7 linked regions of the Xenopus tropicalis genome follow. The protein of the gene in region 6 purifies or fractionates together with the protein of the main gene of each other region. This does not show direct contact. Links are inferred from orthologs where the notes say so. Each region holds a gene or a part of one and is shown on either strand. Other genes may lie near its edges.

The links.
Region 1: the proteins of polr2f (region 6) and polr3e purify together in Homo sapiens (affinity purification with mass spectrometry; 4 studies listed by BioGRID and IntAct, with this or other methods). This does not show direct contact. The link is inferred for Xenopus tropicalis from reciprocal best matches to the Homo sapiens genes POLR2F and POLR3E.
Region 2: the proteins of polr2f (region 6) and uncharacterized protein LOC496835 purify together in Homo sapiens (affinity purification with mass spectrometry; 4 studies listed by BioGRID and IntAct, with this or other methods). This does not show direct contact. The link is inferred for Xenopus tropicalis from reciprocal best matches to the Homo sapiens genes POLR2F and POLR1D.
Region 3: the proteins of polr2f (region 6) and polr3b purify together in Homo sapiens (affinity purification with mass spectrometry; 5 studies listed by BioGRID and IntAct, with this or other methods). This does not show direct contact. The link is inferred for Xenopus tropicalis from reciprocal best matches to the Homo sapiens genes POLR2F and POLR3B.
Region 4: the proteins of polr2f (region 6) and polr3gl purify together in Homo sapiens (affinity purification with mass spectrometry; 3 studies listed by BioGRID and IntAct, with this or other methods). This does not show direct contact. The link is inferred for Xenopus tropicalis from reciprocal best matches to the Homo sapiens genes POLR2F and POLR3GL.
Region 5: the proteins of polr2f (region 6) and polr3c purify together in Homo sapiens (affinity purification with mass spectrometry; 3 studies listed by BioGRID and IntAct, with this or other methods). This does not show direct contact. The link is inferred for Xenopus tropicalis from reciprocal best matches to the Homo sapiens genes POLR2F and POLR3C.
Region 7: the proteins of polr2f (region 6) and polr3g purify together in Homo sapiens (affinity purification with mass spectrometry; 3 studies listed by BioGRID and IntAct, with this or other methods). This does not show direct contact. The link is inferred for Xenopus tropicalis from reciprocal best matches to the Homo sapiens genes POLR2F and POLR3G.

What each region holds. Positions count from the first base shown.
Region 1 is NC_030685.2:25,097,252-25,100,751, forward strand, and holds part of polr3e (RNA polymerase III polypeptide E), read left to right. Parts: coding exon 1-5; intron 6-865; coding exon 866-951; intron 952-2,851; coding exon 2,852-2,896; intron 2,897-3,500. UniProt on the Homo sapiens protein: DNA-dependent RNA polymerase catalyzes the transcription of DNA into RNA using the four ribonucleoside triphosphates as substrates.
Region 2 is NC_030678.2:155,277,705-155,281,884, reverse strand, and holds the start of uncharacterized protein LOC496835, read left to right. Parts: upstream 1-1,380; 5' UTR 1,381-1,386; coding exon 1,387-1,409; intron 1,410-2,761; coding exon 2,762-2,836; intron 2,837-4,180.
Region 3 is NC_030679.2:16,002,789-16,006,946, reverse strand, and holds the start of polr3b (DNA-directed RNA polymerase III subunit RPC2), read left to right. Parts: upstream 1-1,358; 5' UTR 1,359-1,374; coding exon 1,375-1,446; intron 1,447-2,858; coding exon 2,859-2,891; intron 2,892-4,158. UniProt on the Homo sapiens protein: Catalytic core component of RNA polymerase III (Pol III), a DNA-dependent RNA polymerase which synthesizes small non-coding RNAs using the four ribonucleoside triphosphates as substrates.
Region 4 is NC_030684.2:128,432,717-128,436,216, forward strand, and holds part of polr3gl (DNA-directed RNA polymerase III subunit RPC7-like), read left to right. Parts: intron 1-863; 5' UTR 864-900; coding exon 901-1,020; intron 1,021-2,662; coding exon 2,663-2,792; intron 2,793-3,500. UniProt on the Homo sapiens protein: DNA-dependent RNA polymerase catalyzes the transcription of DNA into RNA using the four ribonucleoside triphosphates as substrates. Specific peripheric component of RNA polymerase III which synthesizes small RNAs, such as 5S rRNA and tRNAs.
Region 5 is NC_030684.2:141,779,087-141,783,111, reverse strand, and holds the start of polr3c (DNA-directed RNA polymerase III subunit RPC3), read right to left. Parts: upstream 2,801-4,025; 5' UTR 2,708-2,800; exon of another isoform or gene 2,682-2,707; intron 2,415-2,681; 5' UTR 2,402-2,414; coding exon 2,255-2,401; intron 2,175-2,254; coding exon 1,919-2,174; intron 781-1,918; coding exon 598-780; intron 487-597; coding exon 410-486; intron 324-409; coding exon 219-323; intron 1-218. Other genes in the region: E3 ubiquitin-protein ligase RNF115, read left to right, coding at 3,163-3,240. UniProt on the Homo sapiens protein: DNA-dependent RNA polymerase catalyzes the transcription of DNA into RNA using the four ribonucleoside triphosphates as substrates.
Region 6 is NC_030680.2:122,156,929-122,159,063, forward strand, and holds the end of polr2f (DNA-directed RNA polymerases I, II, and III subunit RPABC2), read left to right. Parts: intron 1-962; coding exon 963-1,034; intron 1,035-1,416; coding exon 1,417-1,507; 3' UTR 1,508-1,635; downstream 1,636-2,135. UniProt on the Homo sapiens protein: DNA-dependent RNA polymerase catalyzes the transcription of DNA into RNA using the four ribonucleoside triphosphates as substrates.
Region 7 is NC_030677.2:178,954,538-178,958,641, reverse strand, and holds the start of polr3g (DNA-directed RNA polymerase III subunit RPC7), read left to right. Parts: upstream 1-1,304; 5' UTR 1,305-1,487; intron 1,488-4,104. UniProt on the Homo sapiens protein: DNA-dependent RNA polymerase catalyzes the transcription of DNA into RNA using the four ribonucleoside triphosphates as substrates.

The sequences.
Region 1 (3,500 bases), on a different chromosome or scaffold from region 6:
TAAAGGTAAACCAGATATTAATTGAACCTATAAAACAGCTGGATATAGTGTTCTGCAATAATCTTCAGTCAAAATGTTGGGCTTTCTTAAAGGAGAAGGAAAGGTTAAGTCACTTGGGGGTGCCAAAATGTTGGCCGAACTTAAACATAGAAGTCGGCTTTTCACTACTGCGCATGCGCTGGCCCACGGATTTCCCCGGCAGCGCGAAGACGGAAGGAGGAAGGCTCACTGCAGGTGCCTCGGGCTGGTGCTGTTTTCTCCTAACAGGGGCACCAGCCCGGGGTACAAGGTAAGCGGTTAAAGTCACTTGGGGGTGCCTAACATTTTGGCACCCCCAAGTGACTTAGCCTTTCCTTCTCCTTTAAATGTAAAAAACTGACTGTTTTCTGGGGAGGACCTGAGGCAAACAATTTTTGTCGAGAAAATGTAGTAGGCTGTTGTCAGTGTTTGCAGCCAAATCTCCTTTTAATTTTGCAGGGCCAGCAGCAAAACAAACTTGGAACTGCATAATTTATAAACTGGTGCTCGCCTGTCTTACTATGTTTGAGTTGTCGCTGAATTACAAATCTCACTTCCCTAATCTCTGTGGATTCTGTAATTTAATTGCATATGTTGACAATCCTCATCTTAAATTGTACTGTAGTTGCTATACTAGAGCTACAGGTACAATCCCTTATCAGAGGATTTCTTATCCACCGCTGCCTGCACAGTTGGTTAATGGACCTTCAGTTGGCTATTCTTAGTGCCAGAATTGACCTCCTTCTTTGCCCAGGCTACCTATATTGAAATAGCCTCATCAGTTAATACTAAAGATTCACTTTATTAAAGGAAAGCCAGTGATGGTACTTCATTTCTTCCCCTCCAGGACAGTCGCTCAGAACACGAGCGTCAGTATTTGCTTTGCCAGAATACCAGCGTGGCAGACAATATGGAACTCACTAAATCCCCAAGGTAAAGCTTTTCCAAGCATGTTCACGTGTACAGTTTTTATCAGTGCTATGCCTAGTATGTGTTGGTTAATGTTTTGTTTCAAATGTAACTTTCCAATGTGGTTTTTAAGTTTTTTTAATATAGATAAGAGTTGTATAAACACATACAGTGATTAAATTTGAGAACTTCTTTCACTGTGTGCCTCACTAGGGTATTGTAAAAGTAAATATAATTGATCAATTACTGTGAAAGCTACTTAGCTATATGGACTAGTAAATAGTTTACTGACGATAAAGATGCCAGTCCTGGTCTAGATCACTTCACCTGTACCTGTATATATACCTGTGTATAATACAATATATACAGGTATGGGACCTGTTACCCAGAATGCTCAGAATCTGGGGTTTTCAGGATAAAGGATCTTTCCGTAATTTGGATCTTCATAACTTAAGTCTGCTAAAAATCATTTAAATATTGACCAAACCCAATAGGCTTGTTTTGCCTCCAATAAGGATTACCGTATATACTCGAGTATAAGCCGAGTTTTTCAGCCCCCAAAAATGGGCTTATAATCGAGTATATACGGCGCATTATGTCCAGCGCTGCATGTCTCTGCTGCCCAGACAGGACTTAAGGTCACGGTGATTCAGCGACAGGTGTGCCTATGTCACTCAGTTTCCTCACATTGTGCAGTATTTGATTGGGTTGGGTGACTTGCCCGTCATCCGCCAGCAGTCGGAACAGTCACATACTGTGTGCACTCCCACAATCCTGTTGATCTATCGCCCAGGCACATAACCGCTGCAGCGCCTCTCACTGCCCCAACCCATGCTGAGAAAGGGGTATCAGTGGGCCATCAGGGTCACCCGCGGGGGGGGGGGGGAGAGAGTCAAGGAGCGTGCCTTGTATATGAGAAGCATGGGGAACTGTTGTGGCACTGTTCTGATCCAGTGATTACTCTGAGGGTGACGGTAACCAAAGTGCACTTGTAGTTGTATTTACTACAGCTGCTCATAGCCTATTACAAGTTTTGTAGGTAGGCCCTATCACATTCTGCTTGTAACCTAAACTACTATTAGACTGAACATGGATTTATAAATTATATAATGTGTCACTTCTTTGTTAATTGAGCCCTAAATACAATGTCCTCAAACTTGGATATGTTAACATTTTGGTGCTGTGAAGATACAGTATAAATGAGAGCTCAGCAAGTGCAGGGCTCCGGTTTCCGGATAAGGGATCCCCTACCTGTACATTAGGGATGCACCAAACCCACTTTTTTGGGTTCTGCCGAATCCCGAATCCTAATTAGCATATGTTAATTAGGATTGTGAAGGGTTGAAAGTTGCCATGCGCGGCTAAACCCCCCCCCAAATTTTAACCCTTTCCGAATGCTAATTAGCATATGCACATTTATGCTAATTAGGATTCGGTTCTTCCGGGGCGGTGGATTCGGTGCATCCCTAGTACATATTTTTAAAATGTCAAAGCTTCTTCAAATAGGGATTTCACATTGAGTGGTTGCTCTGACCTACATGCGCTAGTATTAGAGCTATAGCAAAGAATGCCTTGGGTCTAATAAGCCAGTTTGCTGAAAATTCAAATGCCAGGCTGTTATGGAAGTATTCCTTATTTGTGTCATGCTTATCCTCCACCTTGCCATAGATATTTTTGCATTTTCTTTTTACAAATTAAATAACTGTTTAAAAAGTACAACATTCTGTCCAAATTCTAAGCCTAAATTAATAAGAAAATACATGCTTTTTTTTCCCAGTCCTTGCAATGCAACAGATTTCACTCTCCCCCATTCACACCTAACTTGCACATTACACTGCACTGTGTGGAGTATGTGTGGTAAGGTTACAATGTGTATGTAGTGTATAATATCATTGTGCAAAAATCTTTGTATTTTCTTACACAGGGATTATCTGTCAATGCTGATGCCTCCAGATGTTGAAGAGGAAAAGTAGGTGTTTCTTTTCTCTCTGTCATATTCAATTTTTAGGCCAATGGGGCAAGGCTGTTAGTTTTTTCTGCACATCGTTTAGCAAAGGAAAGATTTTGCCTAATGGTAACCACAGGAAAGCTTCACATTAGTATGTGCGTTTGACACACCTATAGGATGGTTAAGGCTGGTTTGGGTTCAGATTTGGCCTACTATTGCAGGTGTGAGTTGGGTTTGGGTCAGACTAGGGAATTATAAGACTCCTTTGCTCCCTAAGATTCCCTGTGTTGGAACTAGGAGAAGTCAAGTGCTTGTTATGGTTTTGTGGGTATTAGTGTTGGGTGCATGTTGAGTTCTTCATGACTTGTGCAAAACTGCTACAAATGACCTTTCCACTGGTCTTGCCTAGACCAGAGATCCTCAAACTCCTAAGCCATACAGTGGCTTGCAAAAGTATTGAACTTTTCCACATTTTGGCACATAACAGCCACAAACATGAATCAATTTTATTGGAATTCCACGTGAAAGACCAATAGAAAGTGGTGTACACGTGAGAAGTGGAACGAAAATCATACATGATTCCAAACATTTTTTACAAATAAATAACTGCAAAGTGGGGTGTGCG
Region 2 (4,180 bases), on a different chromosome or scaffold from region 6:
ATGTTGCTCCCAGTGGCCTCAAAGTAGGTGCCTGTTATTACATTTGTAGCATAGAGACTAGTTTTGAAAATACAGAGGCATCATTTTAATCCACTTCATCGGAGTGTGGCTCACAAGTAAAAAAGGTTGGGGATCCCTGCCTTAGACTATAGGCCCACTCTCCGAACTATTTTTTCTCACCCACCCTCTTTATTCTCCTAGTCTTTTTTATTTACACTATTTCTCCTCTCTGTTCCCATTCAGAAATAGGGAATGGCCATGAAGCAGGCCAAATGGTCAGGAGCAGGAGGGCCCACCGACACCTGGGCCCACCGGGAGTTTTCCTGGTATCCTGGGGGGCCAGTCCGACTGCCTGGGCTGCTGCACTTTTTGAAAAAGAGAAACACCATTCCTGTGTAGCAAGTAAGGGACTAGCACAGTGATCCCATTTAATGTTACTCCCTGAGGCCTTAATGCAGGCACTTATTTTTGAATTCCTGGCTTGGAGGCAAAAAATGAAAGTGTATAAAAATAATTACAATATAATGAACTGTTGCCCTGCACTGGTACAGCTGGTGTGTTTGCCTCAGAAAGTCTATAGTTTATATAAACAAAGGTGCTGTGTAGCCATGGGGGCAGCCATTCAAAGGAGAAAAGGCACAGGCACATAGCAGATAACAGATAAAACCCCATTATATTCTACAGAGCTTATCTGTTATCTGCTATGTAACCTGTGCCTTTTCTCCTTTTTCAAGGTTGAATGGCTGCCCCCATGGCTACACAGCAGCTTATTATATATAAATTATAGTAGAGTTACTGTAGCAAACACACAACTTTACCTGTGCAGGGCAACAGTACATTATATTTTAAATACTTTAATACACTTTCATTTTTGGCGTTACTGTTCCTTTAACCGCGCTGCCAACCTACAGGCATTAGTGACAGGGAGGAATGCAGAGTGGAAATTGTTTTCTCAATACGCCAGTATTTGGCACAATCTCTGAGGTTTTTCAAGTTTGTTTTGTTCCCCAACTCATTTTAAAGTTACTAACAGGTAAAAAAGTTAGGGTATCCCTACACTAGAACCACTTTGCTGTGTTCTCCAACTTGCCCCCCCCAAAACCCCCTATGGTTTTGCGCCAGAGTTTGGGTAAACTTAGCACAATCATTCCACAACTTTTTTTAACCATTGATGACAGTCGTCGTAGTGTTAATCAATATTTTACTATCCATGTGATCTCACAGCGCTGCCCAAAACTATATATATATATATTCCCTTCAGCACTAGGGAGGCACTCCGCAGCTCAGTGACGCCTCTGGCCCCGCCCATTCCGGAAGTCGCTGCGCTGCTTGGCGTTGTTGCCATCTCGCCAGTGTATTTCCGGGTTCCTTTGCTGCAGAGCAGAAATGCAGGAAGACGAATTGGAACGGTACGAAGTATATGCGAAATAGAAATAAAATTGCATGCTGCTGCTTGTGAGCTGTCTATGTTTTACCCCAGTGAACGCTTTATAGTGCAGAGACTGCTTGGGTAGTGGGTGAAGGATAAATAATAATATATACATGAATTGTTATGGGACAGCTGTTGCTGGGGAAGTGGGGACTGATTGGGTGCAGTTACTTTTGGGTCCTTGTTAGGAATACATAGGGGGAGATTTACTAATCCACGAATCCGAAACCGGAATGGCAAAAATTCAGATTGGAAAGAAAATTTTGCCGTCTTTTCGTCGCCGCCGCAACTTTTTCGTATTTGTCGCGACTTTTTCGTCGCCGACACGACATTATCGTATTTTGCGCAACTATTTCGTCGCCGTTGCAATTTTTTCGTATTGAGCGATTGTAAACGGCGGAAAAACCAATCCGATTTTTTCGCGACGGCGACGAAAAAGTTGCAGAAAATATACGAAAAAGTCGCAAAAATACCGATCATTGCGAAAAAAACGCATGCGGATGCCTTCGGACCGTTCGTGGATTAGTAAATCTGCCCCATAGTGTTGATCCGTAGGCTATAGAGAGCTCTTACTGGTACTGAAAGCCAGCTGGCCAGACTGTGGTTCATGTATATCACTGAAAGGCAACCAATAGCCCTTTTTGTATTGTGGAATTACAGCTTCCAGGGTTGGTTGTTGCAGTGGGAGTTAAAGTTAAACTACATCAATAAAGCAGCAATTAGAGATGTGATTTTGGTTTTCACTTTTTTGTAAAAAAAAAAAAAAATACTGGCCTTTCTATGTAATTATCTTTCTTCCCTATTAATAACATTGACATCAAGCATTATTTTGACCGGCTGGGTTGGTATAATACCAAGCAGCCATAGATGGAATTAGGATTGTGCACATTTACATGTCTCTGGGAAGCACTGTGCATGGTTCAGGATTTGTAGGTCCCATAGATTTTGCTTAGAACACTCTCAGCCCACTTATAATAAAATAGTAAACCAATAAAAGCAGTTTGGTCATGCAGTTTTTGGTGCCGTTGCCATATTAATACATATTCAGTGTACTTGCCTGGAGACCAAAAGAAGAGACTGCTAGTTGGAGGCAGATTTGTTGAAATAATGGAATTTTTAAAAAAAAAACGTAAAGTATACTAATGTTTAATAATGTTAATAGGCCTTATTTCATGCGTTTGATACATTTTTTGTCCTCTTTAAATTGGTGTAAAAGAACTTTCCCCCCAAAACATGTGTGTAGATTTTTATTTATGTAGCAATACTTATATATGTTGGGCTGTACAGCCGATATTGTTAATGCTAATTTCTTGCTCTTTTATGCCGATGCAGGAAAGCTGTAGAAGAGCTTCTCAAAGAAGCAAAACGTGGCAAGATCCGAGCTGAAACTATGGGACCAATGGGCTGGTAAGTGGTTTCTTTATACAATTTTTAATGATATATGTGCGTGTAACACTATTGTATGGTTAGTAACTGTGTTCATATTAAAAATACTGGTGTGTTTATAAAACTTGAAAAAACTGTTCTCTTCCTTTAAAAAAGGAAATGGGTAGTCAATGGAGGGAGGTGCAAACCCCTCATACAGTTATTATAATCATCATTATTATTTTCACTTAAAATACACTGGCCCTGTGTACTATTCTTGTGAGGCCTGTCCTGTGCCTATGTGCAGCATAGTAAAATGTGTAATTCAATGTGAAATGACAGGTAGGCTTCTCTTGCACTTAAACACAGAGTAGGGCCACTGCAAAGATTCAGAGAACAGCAATAAGATGACTGCATGGCGCTAATAAGGATAATACCCCAAGCCAGTCATAGGTAAGTGATTATAATCTAGGAATCCCAAACCCGAAATATGCTAATTAGGAAGAGAAAGGGGGAAAAATTGCAGCGTGCGCAGCAAAAAATTTTTCCCCCTACCATATAATCCTTACAAACATGGGCGTCCGCAGAAAATTTTCCAAGGGGGGGCAAGTAAGCTAGCATCATCCTGCAACAGACAAATATATATATATATATATATTTAAAAATATATATTTTTTTTTTGCAGGATGATACTAGGGGAGGCTAAAGATGGCCCATACACAGTCCGACCTACAGCTAATGTGACACTTAGTGGATTCGCTGCTGGCGTAAAAAGTTAACCTCCCAACTACCTCTTGCCGTTCCCACTGACTACCAGGGATACTGTACAAAAGTGCGGGTGGGGGTGCTTTTTTTTTTTTACCCTAAAATGTTTAGGATGTAAAAGTATTCATACGCGCACGCGGGATCTGCAAACATTTGTGTTTGTGATCAGTTAGCTTAAAGGGGTAGTTCGCATTCAATTCACTTTTATTTTTAATGGTTTTTCAGTTATTTAGCTTTTTGTTCAGCAGCTCTCCATTTGGTATTTCAGCAGCTATCTGGTTGCTAGGGTCTTATTTACCCTAGCAACCAGGTAGTGGTTTAAACAAGAGATGGGAATATGAATAGTTAAGGGGCCTACTTAGAAAAATAAGTAATACAAAATTATAATAATAATAAAATTGTAGCCTCACAGAGCAATATTTTTTGGCCCCCATTTGAAATCTGTATAGAGGCAGAAGAGAAAGGCAAATTATTCAAAAAAATTAATTAGAAAGACCAATTGCAAAGTTGCTAGGAATAGGCCATTTTATAACATACTAAAGGTTAACTTAAAAGTGAACCACCCCTTTAGATGTGTTTATGTTAGTTTTATAGCAAGAAAGGCAGTGGGTACTGACTCCC
Region 3 (4,158 bases), on a different chromosome or scaffold from region 6:
GCAATTAGCCAAGCAATTTCTTCATAAGATGGCCATACAGAGAAATACACTTGCACAGATTGTCAATTATCAGCCAAATAGCCTGACCATAGCTACACATATTGAGGATGAATGGGAGGCAAGCTGCTCTGTTATGCCAATGGATCGAGCAATATTCAATGAGAAGTATAATAAGAAATTGTTGCATAACATACATATAAATGTATATATTGATGGTGTTCCTTAATTTTGGTGTGTGCTGCCCCACTGGTTTCTGTGCAGCTTTTAAGTATACATATAAACTTCACAATCATTTCATACGGGAAGGAGTGCAATAACATGTTCAAAATACAATATCCACATAAAGGTTACCAGTGAGTTAAAAATACAGGTTTATCTTACCATGAAAGGGCCAAGCAGATTGCTAAGCAGAGTAAGCACAGCAATGTCCTGGGATCTGGGCAAAGCAATTTATGTCCACCCATGGGAGACCCAGCCTTGACTTTTCCTTGAAGCTCATTCTGCAACTGGTGTCCTGATGTCTGGCTACTGCCAGGAGTATTTTTTAACTCCCTAGGGCCCTTCTTTCTCTGCTTCACTTCAATAGACATTGTCACATTAACCTGTTAATCACCATAGAAATAAAGTCTTACATTTATATGTAAGAAAGATGCAGAAAGCTAAGCTATAATGCACAACTATACATTTTTCTTATTAGACCCATGCACTAAATAGGATACAAAATTAGGCGGCGGCGGCTGCAATCACAACTCAAGGAGGGTTTAGTAGAAATATTTCTAAACTTTCAAGTATTTGTCTGCAGCTAAAGCCAGCCCCTCCCTGTGTATGTGGCAACAGTGCCGACTTGCACATCCAATCATCCTCAGCAGCTGGGGGACAGGGAGAGACCCTGCCTACGGGAGCCTGCAAGGGCAAACCTCAGGGGCTTCTCGTTGTGCCTATCCCCACACGGTCTATCTCACAACGTACTTTATGTTTTTCCAGCCAATGATATTTAATAAATTGTTTGGACCACATTACTCTCTTTTTAGTGCTTGTCAGTGTATATAGTTTCTAGAAACTTGCTTTCTTGGTGACCTGGAATGAAGTAATATTCCGCTTTGCGGTCCAGGGCACAATGTGTGGCGTACTTTGCTATTCATACATACGCTTCAGCATTCTGTTATTTCAAATAATAGTTATATATGTTGTAAGAAAAAAAAAATTATACCTTGCCCACTTTCGCAATGGCCGCCACACCCTTATGTTTCTAGGGATTATGTGCGTGAGGTAATGAAGAAAAGGGGAACGCTGCGCGTAAAGAAATTTTTCCCTGCCGGACGGGTTTAGGTGCTGCACTGTTTCTCATGTGTGCTGGTGGATGGTCGTATAGGCATGGAGGTGTTGGATGTGGAGTTTGGTCATCTGAGTCAGGAGGAGCTCATTGCTCCCGTTGATACAGTGCAGGTGAGACAAGCTTCGGACTGCTTAATTCCCGTTACCTCCCTCTGCTGTGACTCCCGAATAAATGTAGCTGAAGCTAGCAGTAGAAGTGAGTTCAACAACGTTGTTTCAGGAGTCAGAACCAGGGGTGCAAAAGGGGCAGACAAATACAGCTTCCAACCTCTATTGCATTTACAACAATTTTTTGGGTAGACATTCTTAGAATTCCATGCTGCAGCCTTGGTGTTCCTTTGGAGTTCAGGGACAAGATTTGGGGCTGGGGTGGTGCATTATTCATACCATCCAGAGATACATTTATAATGAGCATTTCCCATATCCTGTGGCATTGTGTGTCACTTATGTGAGGCTAATGATATGTCACAGGTGATGAACCAGTCTCTTGCCATCTACCCATTTTATTAAGAATTGGCAGTCATGGCATTTGCCTGTCAGTGCAAACACCTGCTTCTTTTCAGACCAAAAATGCCACATATGACATAAGCCTGGGGTACCAATAGCAGTATTGGGGAGCTCAACTCTCTGTTAACTTACCCAAATGGGTACCCGGTGCAAATACTGGAAGAACCTCACCTTGCATGGGGGGTCAATATCCAAAAGCAAAAAAATCCAGTAGCACACTGAAGTTGCAAGCCGTGAAAAAAGTTGAAGTTGTAGCCTGGGGTACGACTGGGGCACTATGTCCGTTGCATGTCTCCTTCAATCCAGGCATTGGCTGAGGAGTAGTTTATCTGCCAGACAATATGCATATGGCTAGCTATAACATGCACAACCATATAACTGCAGCCATTTTGCCAGGTTAAAGGGGTGGTTCATCTTTAAGTTATCGCCTTTTACTACCTCCTTTCAGCATTCAAATGAGGGTCACTGACCCCAGCAGTATTGTTTTGGGAGCCTACAATTATATTGTTATGGTTACTTTTATTTTATTAAGTGTCTCTCCTATACTTATTTCAGTCTGTCACTCAAACCTCTGGTAGCTAGGAAAAATAAGATCTAGCAACCAGATACAGATAAAGGTTGAAATAACAAACTTGAAAGCTGCTGAACATAAATAAGTAAAATGCCATAAAAATGAATATAAGCATGATGAAAATTGGTTTTATTTTCCCTTTAAAAACCAGCCAACAAAAAGGGCAACAATCACCATAAAATTGTCCTCCGCTAGAGGTGCCTGCACTCTTGTTGGGGAAACAATTCTCTTTTTTTTTTTTTTTTATGTCCCCTGTGAGAGTTAGGCTGCCTGTACCAGGAGATGTGTGTGTCAGTTGTGGCTCTCTTCTGGTGCAATTTAAAACTATTTTAAAGGCTCCGTTAGCCCACAACTCTAGTGGGGGAAACAATTTTAGGGTGACGGGTGTTGGCAAATTTTAAATATCCTATTTGCAAACTGACCTGAAAATTTATTTGTTTTGCAGGAAAAATGGAAACTGCTTCCAGCCTTCCTAAAGGTATGCTTTAAATATATATTTATATTTAGGTTAACAGTTCATAGAGATAATTACTAACCTCAGACTCATTAAAAATGCTCTTCTAAGCTGAAAAATCACTGGGCCAGAGTAGTATTCTGACGAACACTGAGCCACCATCTTTGCGCCCTATCCCAGTGCCCTAGCAGCTGATCTGTGCATGCGTAGTTGAGTAAATGTTTTTCTTTTACCATCTATGTCAATTTTGGCCTAGGGCAGCCATTTAGGATTTCTGGCATAGCAGGCAAGATAGCAGTTTGGTGAAACTCACTAGAATATTACCCTGGGCCAGGGTCAAACCTTCACCCAGTAAATAACCTTTTCCTTCTTCTTTAAAGTAGCTGAAGGTTTAACATTGAATTCGCTGAATGATTCTGCCACAAAACACTACTCTTTGCATGCCAAAGTGAGCAGTCCAAAGACTGCTGCAGTCAGAGCAGTCCAAAGATTGCTGCAGTCAGTGTTTTCTCTTGAAGATGTAATCCATCTCGCTCTCATCTAATGCTTAGTTTGGCATTGGGCATCATTAAATTGGAGGTGTCAATTGGAGTTTTGTCCTGTGAAAAGGATCAGGTCTTCTCACTGCATTAAATGATCCAAATGTTAAAGGAACAGTAACACCAAAAAATACAAACGTAATTAAAATGTTAGGTACTGTTGCCCTGCACTGGTAAAAGTTTTATGTTTGCTTTAGAAAGACTACTATAGTTTATATAATAAGCTGCAGTGTAGGCAAGGGGGCAGCCATTCAAGGTTACATGGTACATTCTCTACTTGGAGTAAGGTTCTCTGAGGCGTCTCTCAGGGTTCTGTACTGGGTACTGCACTTGGCAAATCCATAATGGAGAAGGACCTTGGAGTCCTTGTAGATATTGAACTTGGCTGTAGCAAGCAATGCCAGGGAGCAGCTGCAAGGGCAAACAAGGTTTTGACCTGTATTAAAAGGGCCATAGATTCGCAGGAGGAGGAGGATATACTTCCCCTTTACAGATCGCTGCTAAGGCCCCATCTAGAATATGCTGTGCAGTTTTGGTCTCCAGTGCTGAAACGTAATATTATTGAGTTATAGGGGGCAACTAAAGGGTATGGAAAGTCTCGGTAATGAAGCAAGACTGGCCAAGTTAGGGTTCTTTATACTGGAGAAGAGGCGCTTAAGGGGTTATATGATAACTATGTATAAATATATAAGGGGATCATAATAATAAGCTCTCTAATGCTTTATCAGTAGGTCCTTCTAACTGACACAAGG
Region 4 (3,500 bases), on a different chromosome or scaffold from region 6:
CCAGGTCCTTAGCTCAGGGAAGCCGACAGGCTATCATAACAAAGTAAAAATAGATGATGAGCACTAAAAGTTAAACCCAGTGTTGGATGACCACAAGTATCTGGACATCTACCTGTCCACTGTCTCTGTTAATTAAAACAAAACAAAACAGAAGGGCACCAAAGCACAAATCTATGTAGAAGACATACCAATTCAAGAAAGCAGTCTGGGTGCTACTGACCTTTAGCTCAGGGAAGCAGAAAGACCATAACAAAGCAAAAATAGGTGATGGGTAATCCAATTTATCCACAAAGGGCACAAAATAGTAGTCAAAATCTCTGTTTATAACATTATCTCTACAACCTTACACATATTGTGCCCAAAAACACACTTAATCATAGTTCCACATTATTTTAATGAAACCAAAAGTATAGTCCATCTTACCTGAAGAAACACAGGTATTTGGCCAGTTGCAGCCAAGAAAAGCAGATGTGGCAATGGGTCGCTGCCTTGCTGGGTTCCTTTTCCTTACTTGCCACCTCCCCTTGCTCCTGGATGAGTTTACTTCTGAGTTTATGACGACCACATTTTTGGTCTGATGATAAAGCTTCCAGTTTTATAGTGAGAAGTGGGTCCAAGTGGGTAGAAATACAAGTCTGTGGGTTTGGTGGAATAGCCCTTTGAGATCTTTAGCCAAGGGTATTAATATGAATATGTTATCTGTTATACCAACCCATATTCTTCTGGGAAGCCTTTTTACTGGATGGTGGAACATTGTTGGATTGCTATACACTACATGAAGGAAGTCATGAGATATATACAAAAACAAAATATACAACAACATATACAAAATGTCAGGTGATGTTGATATCTCTTATACCCAGGCTAGGTTATTCTACTGTTTCTTGGGCATAGCACAAGATGGCTGGAAAAGGCAGAGGTAGCGGTCGGGGCCAACTGACCTTTAATGTAGAAGCTGTTGGAATTACCAGAGGGGAAGCACTGCCGCCACCCACTCTCCAACCTCCCCCGTTGTTCCCGGTAAGTTAAGCTCTATACAGCTTTGGTATTAAAGGAAAAGTAACACTAAAAATTTTTAAGTAAAAAAATCTATTCTACCCTGCTCCAATAATTGCCCTATCCTGCACACCGTTTATTATTTTGAATGCTTTATTAGAAAATACCTGCTAAAACCTGGCTTCCGGTCATTTGAAATAAGGCGATGCAGAAGCAGAATTGATCGATCACAGCCTGACTCCTTTGATCGATCCTTGCCTGACTCCTTCCTATACAGAAGGAAGGCTAGGATTGATCGTCGCGTAGTGGATTCTGCTTCTACATCGCCGTATCGCCTTATTTCAAATGACCGGAAGCCGGGTTTTAGCAGAAATTTTCTAATAAAGCATTCAAAATAATAAATGGTGTGCAGGATAGGGCAATTATTGGAGCAGGGTAGAATAGATTTTTTACTTACTTTCCTTTAAAGTGTACATGCTATGTATAGAAATGTACCAAAATAGGCATGAGTGGGGAACATATTGTAACTAAACCACAACTCCCCATATTTTTGACTGCTGATATGTGTTATTGGAGTCAGCAGACTGAATTTCAGCAAGAAGCAGTGAACTACAGGCTCCTGATCCATATCTTAGCATTTTAGTATCTGTTTTCCCTGTCTGCCCATTGTGCACTGCCTTCTATTGCTTTCTGACTTTTTGCCTGTTGGGTGGCAGGATCAGGGTCTGCATTTTTCATTACAGTGCCCAGTTGCCCACCCCTGTGCCTGCCATCCACCTGTTTGCTACTATGGGCCCTTTACAAGTGAGATACATGTGGCCTTCCCTAAGGTATAATGGCCTTTTAGTTATACTGTTATGTTTATAGAATATACATAGGCTTATTTTTCATTTGTCATGGGTTTAAATGCTACTTACCTGGATAGTATTAGGTCTTTATTCATTTTTTTGTACTAATAGGTTTTATTATTTTTTCCTTACTTTCCTAACTTTTTTCACTTGAAAGAAAACCCAGCCATGCTGTGTGTCAGTAGTGCATTGCATACTCATGCTGGAATCAGACTGGACTTTACCTGTCAGTGACTGACAGTAGGGTGTGTTGTTTACAGCTGGGAAACATGTTAGGTTGCGGAACTCAAAAGAAATTCATGCAGCAACTCTATGTACAACAGTTTTGTTAAACATTCCCTGCAGTTTCTTTTTAAAGGACAAGGAATGGTTAAATTACTGGGGGGGGGGGGGCACTCCCTTCAGTGATTATAATGACTTACCTGATACTCTGGGCCGGTGGTCCATTTAGTATAAAACTGCTCTGCCCTGGGGTACTCTGAGCAAGCACCACAGAACAATCCTCTTCTTTCACTTCTTCATTCCTCAATCACCCAGGGTGCATGTGTGCATGTGTGTGAAAAAGCAAACTTGGCTTTTCACTTTACTGAAGTGAAGAAGAAACAAGATGTAGATAATGCAGTGGTGCTAGGTCTGAAGTACCCCAGGCTGCTGCAGTTTTCTGCTAACAGGAGCACCAGCGTGGGGTATCAGGTAAGTAATTATAATTACTGGGGGGTGCCTAACATTTGGCACCCCCTCTGTGATTTCATCTTTTCTTCTCCATTAAGAGCTATACACTGTGTATATCATCCTACTCTCTTTGTTGTTTTGTTCAGAACCTGGAATACAAACCAGTACCCCTGCAGACAGGGGAGGAGGTGGAATATATGCTGGCGTTGAAACAAGAACTCCGAGGAGCCATGAAGACTCTCCCGTACTTCATCAAGCCCGCTGCTCCCAAGAAAGGTGTGTTTAGCTTGGCTCTATTTGGTTGCCCTAAAAAGCACTATATCATTTATTGTTGCAAGGGCAAGTAAAGCAATAGAATCATATGGGCGTGTGGTTTTTAATGCAAATGCCTGATTTTTTACCAGCCCCCCATGCAGTTTTACTTAATCTCCCCGGTCTACTTCTCATGCATGTCTGTGACTCCCCAGGCACACTACCCCCAGTTATGTTATGTGCATGCCCATGTCGTCTCGCTCACTCTGGGAACTTGCACCCTAGGTTGCTTCACTTCACAGTTGCTCCCCATTGGTTAAGGTGAGGAGTTGGCGTAAACTGGCAGCACTTGAAAGCTGAACATGCTATCCTTAAACATGTAGGAAAATAGAAGGGTAAACAAGAACATGGCTAGCAATACATTTACATTAACTAACAATACAGTAAAATACCTTTGGTTCAGCAGCCCTATAACTGCAATGATCCATGCTTTCGAATTTGTATACAGCAACCTCCCATTCTTGGGGTCTTGTTAGGCCATCTTTTGAGTGTCAGTGGCACTGCACATGCTCAGTGTGCTGTTGGATACTGTAAAGAAGGAAACCTCAGGGGTCGTTGGAAATTATGCTGCAAAAATAAGGTTACATTTGTCATAGCTGATGCTACATGGCTGAATGCAGTGCAGAATGCACAGGTTTTTATGACACGGTCACTTTATGGTAATTTAAAGCA
Region 5 (4,025 bases), on a different chromosome or scaffold from region 6:
GCGACCATTTTATTGCTGTTGCATCAGTGTAGTACATTGCCGCTACTTCCTGAAGGGTCGAAGGTAATGCAACATAAGGCCCAAAGTGTGCCCAGTTGTAGCAACCCATAGCAACCAATGATTGTATTTGGTGCCCATTATACAAGACCTGCTTGATTTAGGTGTTTATACCTGCCCCTTAAACTACATACCCCTCAAGGGGTTCTGCCACAAGGTACCTGGTCCATTTTATTGGAAACAGCGCTGATAATAGCCTGGTCCCGGAAGTGCTGGTGGAACCGCTCCGTGTTGACTTGCCAGTAGACGCCATCATCTTGGCTATCCTGGGCAGGGAGACCAAGGAGGAAAGGGTAAGTTACAGGCAAGACAAGAATGCAGGGCCATATTGGGGTGAACGATGAACACCCACCTCTGCTTCCTTTTTTGGTCTCTTGGCCTGACTGCCTCCATCGTCATCATCAGATGATCTGCGGCGTTTGCCCCTGCCTAGAGCAACAATAGGCACAGCATAACAAGGGGTATCCAGTAGCACCCCTTCCTACATTGTATACACCTCCGGGCAGTATCGGAGAGCGGCTGCCCCACAAGGGCACTTACCTGTCATATTTAGCTTAGGGACGATGTACATTTCCTTCTCATTCATCTGCAGGGTTGGGGCAAGTGGTGGGCGGCCCTCCGTGGCATCCTTCTCCTGCACAGTCGGGCACCGCTGCACAAAGTGTGTATCTGCCAGGTGGGTAAAGGTGGCAGAAACCTCACTGTACTCCATGCTCTTGCTGTCTGCGCAGGGAGAACACAATACACAGGGCTTAGCTAATGGGCTTAAAGCATTGAGCAGGTTCCTATTATTCCTCTACAGTACACATTCTTTGCGGTACAGTTCCCAGTTATGCGACTAGATTGTAAGCTCTTTCTGACAGCTTCAGACTTTCCCCCTATAGAACTAGACTGCAAGCTTCTAGGGGCTGAATAAATATTAACCAATTTACCAATAGATCTTATGCTATGTGGGACAGGGTGTGCCATTATATAACTAGACTGTAAGCTTCTTTGGACAGCCAAAGGGCTTTCCATTATATCACTAGACTTTAGCCCCAGTGGCTAGATTGCAAGCTCTTTATGTTAGTCACAGGGGCTCCCATTCTACCAATAGACTGTAAGCTTCTAGGGGCTGAATATTTCCTTATACCAATAGATGCTCGGGTATTTGGGATAGGGTGTGCCATTATATAACTAGACTGTAAGCTTCTTCAGACAGTCAAAGGGCTTTCCATTATATCACTAGACTTTAGCCCCAGTGGCTAGATTGCAAGCTTTTGATGTCCATCACAAGAGTTCCCAATCTACCAATAGACTGTAAGCTCCTAGGGGCTGAATATTTCCTTATACCAATAGATGTTAGGCTATGTGGGACAGGGTGTTCCATTATATAGCTAGACTGTAAGCTTCTTGGGACAGTCAAAGGGCTTTCCATTATATTTCTAGACTTTAGCCCCAGTGGTTAGATTGTAAGCTTTTTATGTCCATCACAAGGGTTCCCATTCTACCACTAGACTGTAAGCTCCTGGGAGATGAATATTTCCTTATACCAATAGATATTAGTCTATGTGGGACAGAGTGTGCCATTTTATAACTAGACTGTAAGCTTCTTTGGACCGCCAGAGGGCTTTCCTTTATATCACTAGACTTTAGCCCTAGTGGCTAGATTGCAAGCTCTTTAGGTTAGTCACAGGGGCTCCCATTCTACCACTAGACTAGACTGTCAGCTCCTTGGGGCTGGGTCCCCTATGCACACCCCTAGATTTCTGACACTCACAATATAAACCAGGGCAGCTGACAGCCAGAAGGGATGATCAGGTTGCTGGGCTGCCTATCCCAGAAGGTTGCCACAGGGCTACCCCAAGGCGGCAGTCATTACCTTCCATGGTCTCGGTCAGTCTGTCGGCCACTTTCTTTACTGCGGCGCTTAGTGTCATTTTGCCATTGAGCAGCAGCTCCTCCACAATCAGCTCCCCCGTGTCCCCGTACAAGGTCTTTGCCGTGTAGATGTAGCGCGGGTAGCGCAGTATGCGCAGGAAGCGGTCGACGTGGGCCTTGTACTCGACAAAGCCGCGTTTGTTCAGCTGGTAGGTCACCAGGTTGTGCTGTATCAGGACACAAAGGGCTTTCTTCACCTGTCGGAGGAAAAAACAGTCCATCAAGGGACGGGGACTAGTTGGGGGCAGTGCCCAGGGAGCGAGAGGGTTAAACTTGCCTGATCCAATGACGTCCCTGTCTCGTTGGCGATCACTCTCAGCGGCTGGTTGCCCGTCCGTATCAGAAAGGTCCCCACTCGGTCCACAATCTCCCCGTAATGTTCCTGCAGCAGCAGGGAGCACAGCTTGCTCTCAACCGCACTCATCTCCCGGCACCGGCTGAAACAGAGGGATAGTTATAGTTGTACTACACCCTATAATGCACTATCACTGCTGCTATCCCACTGCCAGACATATACATGACTATAAGCTTATGTCCCAACAGGGGCTGAGGCCCCTCATCTGCCCAATGAGGCCCAGGCAGTAGGGAAGCAATTGTCTGAGCCGTCAGAACTAAGGCACCATCATAAGTTATGGCTGAACTACAACTCTCAGCTCCCACAATCCTCTGCCAGCGCCTCCATGCAGCCCTAGAGTGAAACTCACACCAGAATTCTACCAACAGCACTCACATGGCTTCCGCTTCCTGTCAGCTGACACCGTCCGAACGTCACCTTGGTTACCACATAGCAACTTCCGGTATTAGTAACCCCCCCCCGTTCTTCTCTTGAACCTCCTTTTGGGCTGAGGGGGCAGTGGAGGAGGCTGATTGGAAGACTCGCTGGTGCTGGCAGGGGATAGAGCGCCGTGCGGGGTCACTCTTGCCTCACAAGCCCCGATATTGGGAGGGGTTGATTGGAAGACTCGCTGGTGCTGGCAGGGGATAGAGCGCCGTGCGGGGTCACTCTTGCCTCACAAGCCCCGATATTGGGAGGGGTTGATTGGAAGACTCGCTGGTGTTGGAGGGGATAGAGCGCCGCCGTACGATAGGAGACGTTCGTGTAGGCGAGTCGGCGGTGCTGGGAGGACTGACGTGACGCGGTTCCCAGCAGCAGCAGCCGGAGCTGGGGGAGAGCGGGTAGGGATCATGGCGGAGGCGGCAGCGGTGTCTCAGCATCGGTTCTTCTGCCATCACTGTAAGGGGGAGGTCAACCCCAAGCTGCCGGTGAGTCCCTGCGGGGGAGTGCGGGGCCCAATTGGGGGGTGTGTGGGGGAGGCATATGGGGGGCCGGGGGGGGGGCTGCTGGGCTGAGGGGAACGAAATGGGCCGGGGTGGGGTATGGTGGCGGGGAGGGGAATGTTGGGGGCCGGGGGGGGGGGGGGGGGAGTGCAATGTAAACAGTGGTTGGATGTGTGGCCCGGGGGGAGTGGGGAACAGAGTGGGGGGTACGTGCGGGGGCACTGGGGTGAGAGGGGGGGGTAGAGGGGCTTGGGGTCCCGGGGGGGGGCAGGGTTAGGGAATGTGGGGGACAGGTTAGATGTTTGGGGGGGGAGTAATTGGGTTAATGGGGGATGTAGGGAGGCCGAAGGGAGGGGTGCGGGGAGAATCTAGGGGACAGGGGAGGGGTACTGGGGTGGGAGGAAAGTATAGGGGGGGCTTGGGGTGGGATGGAAATGTAGGGGGGTGGGAGGGGAATGTAGGGGGGCTTGGGGGTGGGAGGGGAATGTAGGGGGGCTTGGGGGTGGGAGGGGAATGTAGGGGGGCTTGGGGGCGGGAGGGAAATGTAGGGGGCTTGGGGGCGGGAGGGAAATGTAGGGGGCCTGGGGGCGGGAGGGAAATGTAGGGGGGCCTGGGGGCGGGAGGGAAATGTAGGGGGGCCTGGGGGCGGGAGGGAAATGTAGGGGGGCCTGGGGGCGGGAGGGAAATGTAGGGGGGCCTGGGGGCGGGAGGGAAATGTAGGGGGGCCTGGGGGCGGGAGGGAAATGTAGGGGGGTGGGAGGGAAATGTAG
Region 6 (2,135 bases):
AGAGGAACACTCATTCGCTTACACCCTGGGCGGTGCAGTTTTCTGCTAACAGGAGTACTGGCTGGGGGTTTCTGTTAAGCTAACATTTTGACACCCCCCAGTGATGATGGTGATTTTGGTGATACTATAATACTATGATTATAGGTTATGTAGCACCGCAGTGCTTTACAGAAATTGTGCTTCAGTCACATCAGTTCCTGCTCAGTGGAGCTTACAGTCTAATTTTATCAGAAACCAATTAGTCTCCCTGTATATTTTTTGAGTATAGGAAGAAACCAGAATACCCAGAGAAAACCCACGCAAGCATGTGGGGAACATGTGGACTCCTTGTTTGACTGCAATTTAACATAGGATCCCAGAGCAGCAAAGCAACAGTGTACTGGAATATAGTATAGAAAAAGCTTGTTTTGGTTATAACATAACAAAATAAGATTTCTGTATATATAATATAGCAATATCATTCTCTGGCTACACTATAGTATAGTGAAATCATGTGTGCATTGCACCACTTAAAAGGAGAACAAAAACCCACGTTTTATTGATTCAAGTGCTCTGCTGCTGAGCGTTTAAGTACAGAACACTGGAGTGTTAATGGTTTGTAGTGTCATGGCAGTTTGCTCTCCTTTTGACTGCCAAAGAGCTCTATTAAGTGACTGACAATGGTCGTTTAAGTAATCCTGACAGGTCACACTTCATTTTGGCATGGAGCAGAATAGGACTGTGTAGCAGTGAGTAACCTTCTTTTATTTTCTCAATGAAATTAAGAAGTGCCGGTTTCAGAATTCAGCGCAAACTATGGCTTTAGCTTGTCTTTGAAAGTTGATTTCTTTTTGACCACCTATTTGCTATTGTTGCTCCTGTTCTCAGGTTATGTGAATAAGTCCTTTTATAAAACATTTAGAGAGAGCCTCACTTAGTTCCTACCACCCTCACTCAGTTTTTGTCCTCCTTCTTTAATACAGGATGTGTGCCCCTGTCATGGTGGAGCTTGAAGGAGAAACGGACCCCCTACTTATTGCCATGAAGGAACTTAAGTAAGTTTTTCTCATCTGCCAGAGAATATGTAACTGTCTAACCTCCACCTGACAGAGGCCAGTTGGGTATGCTAAACACGGTTTGCATGAATCTTTGTTTGCAATTTTGAAATACTTTTCAATTTTCATAGTATCTAGCTTTGGTTTATGTTCAGGAACTTCCAATATTGAGAAAATTGAGGTATGACTTAAAACCAACACCAAAAACCCATATTATTATGGAAATGGATATATATTTGCAAATTCTAACTGGCCTCTTTCAAGGCCAGTTTGTGACTGCAAATTCTGAGTTACAACTACTGGGATTCTTTGCAAGCTAACATATAATTGAGGATGCTTGTATATTCTAGTGATCTTCTAAAGTTTCTTTCTGTTCCCACAGAGCCAGAAAGATCCCTATAATCATACGACGTTACCTTCCAGACGGCAGTTATGAGGACTGGGGGGTGGATGAACTCATCATTACCGACTAAGACCTGTCGTCAGTCCTTGACTTTCCAAGCCTGAAATCTTTGACACCAGTTTTATTCTCTTTTGTCTTGTTGTACATAATTGTTTTTTATGTAAATGCTTTATTTAATAAAAACACAAAAGACCCTCACACACAGCTATCTGTTTGCTGATAAATATCTGCTGAAGAAAGAGAGAGCAGGCTAAAAGGAAGGGTTACTTTTTGTAGCAGAGACTGCCTTTAGATAGTAACAAAACTGACAGCCTATAGGCCATTTAGTGACTAGAAAACTTGGGCGACAGGATGAATTCTAAGCTCCATGCAAGGAGAATAGCATGCACCTGTTTGCTTCCAAAAATGTTCAAAACCTCCCCCACCATCTACCTGTTTTTTTTTGGTAGAACAGAGGAGCCATTGTATGCCCATGTCTCTGCACTTGTTGCTATGGAAATGCCCATGGAGGGGACACCTTTCTCAGGAGTATCAAAAACCAGGATGAATCCCACTCTTTGTTTGGCCAAATATGCGCTCGGCTGCTTCTACGTTCCTGCCACACCTGGGGAACAAGCTAGCACTGATCCAGGTGCTACATTACTGATGGCCACTGCCGCTAAATATTCCTCACACTGATATTTCAGCTCAACAGCGCA
Region 7 (4,104 bases), on a different chromosome or scaffold from region 6:
ATCCCTTATCCCACTGCTACTATGGGCACCATCTCTCCCTACTATACCTGCTATCCTACAGTCACAGTCCCTTCCCAGAGGCTATTATCCCCCCACTGCTACTATAGGCACCATCTCTCCCTACTATACCTGCTATCCTACAGGCACAGTCCCTTCCCAGAGGCTATTATCCCCCCACTGCTACTATAGGCACCATCTCTCCCTACTATACCTGCTATCCCACAGCCACAGTCCCTTCCCAGAGGCTATTATCCCCCTGCTACTATAGGCACCATCTCTCCCTACTATACCTGCTATCCCACAGCCACAGTCCCTTCCCAGAGGCTATTATCCCCCCACTGCTACTATAGGCACCATCTCTCCCTACTATACCTGCTATCCCACAGCCACAGTCCCTTCCCAAAGGGTATTATCCCCCACTGCTACTATAGGCACCATCTCTCCCTACTATACCTGCTATCCCACAGCCACAGTCCCTTCCCAGAGGCTATTATCCCCCCACTGCTACTATAGGCACCATCTCTCCCTACTATACCTGCTATCCCACAGCCACAGTCCCTTCCCAGAGGCTATTATCCCCCACTGCTACTATAGGCACCATCTCTCCCTACTATACCTGCTATCCCACCGCCACAATCCCTTCCCAGAGGCTATTATCCCCCCACTGCTACTATAGGTACCATCTCCCCCTACTATACCTGCTATCCCACAGCCACAGTCCCTTCCCAGAGGCTATTATCCCCCCACTGCTACTATAGGTACCATCTCCCCCTACTATACCTGCTATCCCACAGCCACAGTCCCTTCCCTACCTACTATATTCAATATATCACAGACTCTTCCCAGAGGCTACTATTTACACTACTTTGCAAAAGCTGAACATGCCCTTTGACAGCATTTTGACGAAGACAACTATGTCAAATTTAGAAAGATTAGTAGTTAAACTGGCAAAAAGTAATTTACTCCAACTTTTTAAAAGAAAATAAAAACAGTGTGGCATAAAAAGAAAAACATTTGATATTTAGACAAATGCCAAATTTATCTTCTCTGAACAGACATATTGTATAATATTTATTTTCTGGGCTCCAGCAGTTGCACCTCACTGATGGTGGCTGTGTAATGCATGATTAGAGCTAACTGCTGATAGTTGCCAGTACATTAGTTTTGTGTTCCCCTTTAAGAACACATAATGATCAATGTACAGCGCCTTTCCACTGAAAGGGCTGTGCTTCATGTTGTGTTTAGTAAGCCTGAACACTAACAAAGGGAAGCTCTACCCTATATAGTTTTACTGCTGAGCAGAACCTAATTAGTTTAGAATCAGTTACACTGCCTGATGCTCGTTAGGACTTGCTGACAAGCACTGCCCCCACTGGCTTATCCCTACTGCACCAGGATTTACTTGTGAATGTCATTGTAACGCAGATTTGGTGAATCAGCCGAGTTCTATGTTTGATTCATCAGCGAGAAATTATATCAGACTGAAGGTAAAATGATTCGCTTAAGTATATGAATTTAATATCATGTCTATAATTCTATTAATCTATGAAAACACCCAAATGTAAGATGTGTTAAAGCACAGATATAAGCACATTTTAGGCCATTATAAAATCAGTTACAGTTGGATCAATGATATTTAGCAGCATTGGCACAGATTGGCATATTGGGGCTTGCATTTATTGACTTCTACTGAAGCTGAATGTTGAAATGTTTTTGAATGTATTATTTAATAATGAGTTAAGCTTGTTTGCCTAAAGTGGGCCTATGAAAATAAATGCCTTTTAATATTTTATTGTTCAACTTGGGGTCCTTCAGCTGCTGGAAGCTGCAACTCTTAGTGCTCTTAGCTGGGTGTGGTTGGGGCATGACAGGGAATGCTTTAGGGCAGGACATAGAGAGCTTCTAGTCCTCATCATGTCCTTTGTAGAAGTACAAATAACAATCATTAAAAATGTATATTCTTATATACATTCTTAGTTTTTACATTTACAGTGTTGCCTGTGGCCCTTCTAGTTTTGTTCAACTAGAACATTCAATGTCAGCTGATGACTTTCAGGTGATTATAGCAGCTGTACCTGGGGGCCTATTTAGTGTGCTGAGTAAAATGGCAAATGTCACCATCTGAAAGCCAGACTTTATGCCATTATTCTATGCAAGCTACGTAATTACATTGTTTTTTACACAGCGAAGCCTCGCAATGAATGACGAATTTTGCTGCCATTTTTGCACAGCATAATAAGTAGGCATCTTAGTGTGCTGTAATTGGTGCAAACCCCAGCAGGTGTAATTCATTGCTATCAATTATTTTAATGAGAATGTTGTAAGAATACACCTGAGCTTCACTAAAAAAAGTATATAATTTTAAAGGGAAAGCTATGTTGATGAACAAAAGCTGGAGGGCTGCAATTTGGGCATACCTAATTTTTATAGGGTCATAGCGCCTTAACACAGTGAGGTGAAACATCTCAAAAAAAATGGTACGGCCGACCCATCAAATCAAATGGTACGGTCTGACCCCCCCTCAAATCAAATGGTACGGTCCGCCCCCTCCAAAAAATGGTACGGTCCAACCCCCCCCTCGAAACAAATGGTACGGTCCAACCCCCCTCCAAAAAATGGTACGGTCTGATCCCCCCTTCAAAAAAATAGCATGGTACGGCCTGATCCCCCGTCGGAAAAAAGTGGTACGGTCCGACACCCTCTCCAAAAAAATGGTACGGTCCGATCTCCCCCCCAAAAAAATGGTACGGTCCGACCCCCCCCTTCAAATAAAATGGTGCGGGCTGACCCCCCTCCAAAAAAATGGTACGGTCCAACCAAAATTTTTTGGAATGGGGGTCGGACTGTACCATTTTTTGGAGGGGGGCGGGGTTGGACGTACCATTTTTTTGAGAGGGAGGGATGGACCGTGACATTTTTGGAGGGGGGGTCGGACCATACCAATTTTAAGAGCGGGGGAGGTCGGACCGTACCATTTTATTTTGGAGGGGTAGGACCGTACCATTTTTTAGAGGGGATGGGGACGGACCGTACCATTTTCAAGAGCGGGGGGGTCGGACCGTACCATTTTTTAGAGCGGGGAGTCGGGCCATACCATTTTTAGAGGGGGAGGGGACCGTACCAATTTTTTTCGAGTGGGGGGGGATGGACGTACCAGTCGGACCGTACCATTTTTAAGAGCGGGGGTCGGACCGCACCAATTTTTATGGGGGGATAGGACCGTACCATTTTATTTTGGGTGGGGGGGGGAGTCGGACCGTACCATTTTTTGAGTGGGGGGGATGGACCGTACCATTTTTAAGAGCGGGGGGGGTTTCGGTCCGTACCATTTTTTTCGAGTGGGGGGATGAACGTACCATTTTTAAGAGTGGGGGGTCGGACCGTACCATTTTTAAGAGTGGGGGGGGGGGTTCGGACTGTACCATTTTTTGAGTGGGAGGGGGGTCGGACCGTACCATTTTTAAGAGCGGGGGGGTGATGGACCGTACCATTTTTAAGAGCGGGGGGGGTCGGACCGTACCATGTTTAAGAGCGGGGGGGTTCGGACTGTACCATTTTTTGAGTGGGGGGGGGGATGGACCGTACCATTTTTAAGAGCGGGGGGGTCGGACCGTACCATTTTTAAGAGCGGGGGGGGGGGTTCGGACTGTACCATTTTTAAGAGCGGGGGGGTCGGACCGTACCATTTTTTGAGGGGGGGGGTGGACCGTACCATTTTTAAAAGCGGGGGGGGGGGGGTCGGACCGTACCATTTTTTGAGTGGGGGGGGGGATGGACCGTACCATTTTTGAGTGGGGGGGGGATGGACCGTACCATTTTTAAGAGCGGGGGGGGGTTCGGACCGTACCATTTTTTGAGTGGGGGGGGATGACCGTACCATTTTTAAGAGCGGGGGGGGGTTCGGACCGTACCATTTTTTGAGTGAGGGGGATGGACCGTACCATTTTTAAGAGCGGGGGTGGTTCGGACTGTACCATTTTTGAGTGGGGGGGGGTGGACCGTACCATTTTTAAGAGCGGGGGGGTCGGACCGTACCATTTTTAAGAGCGGGGGGGTTCGGACTGTACCATTTTTAAGAGCGGGGGGGGTCGGACCGTACCATTT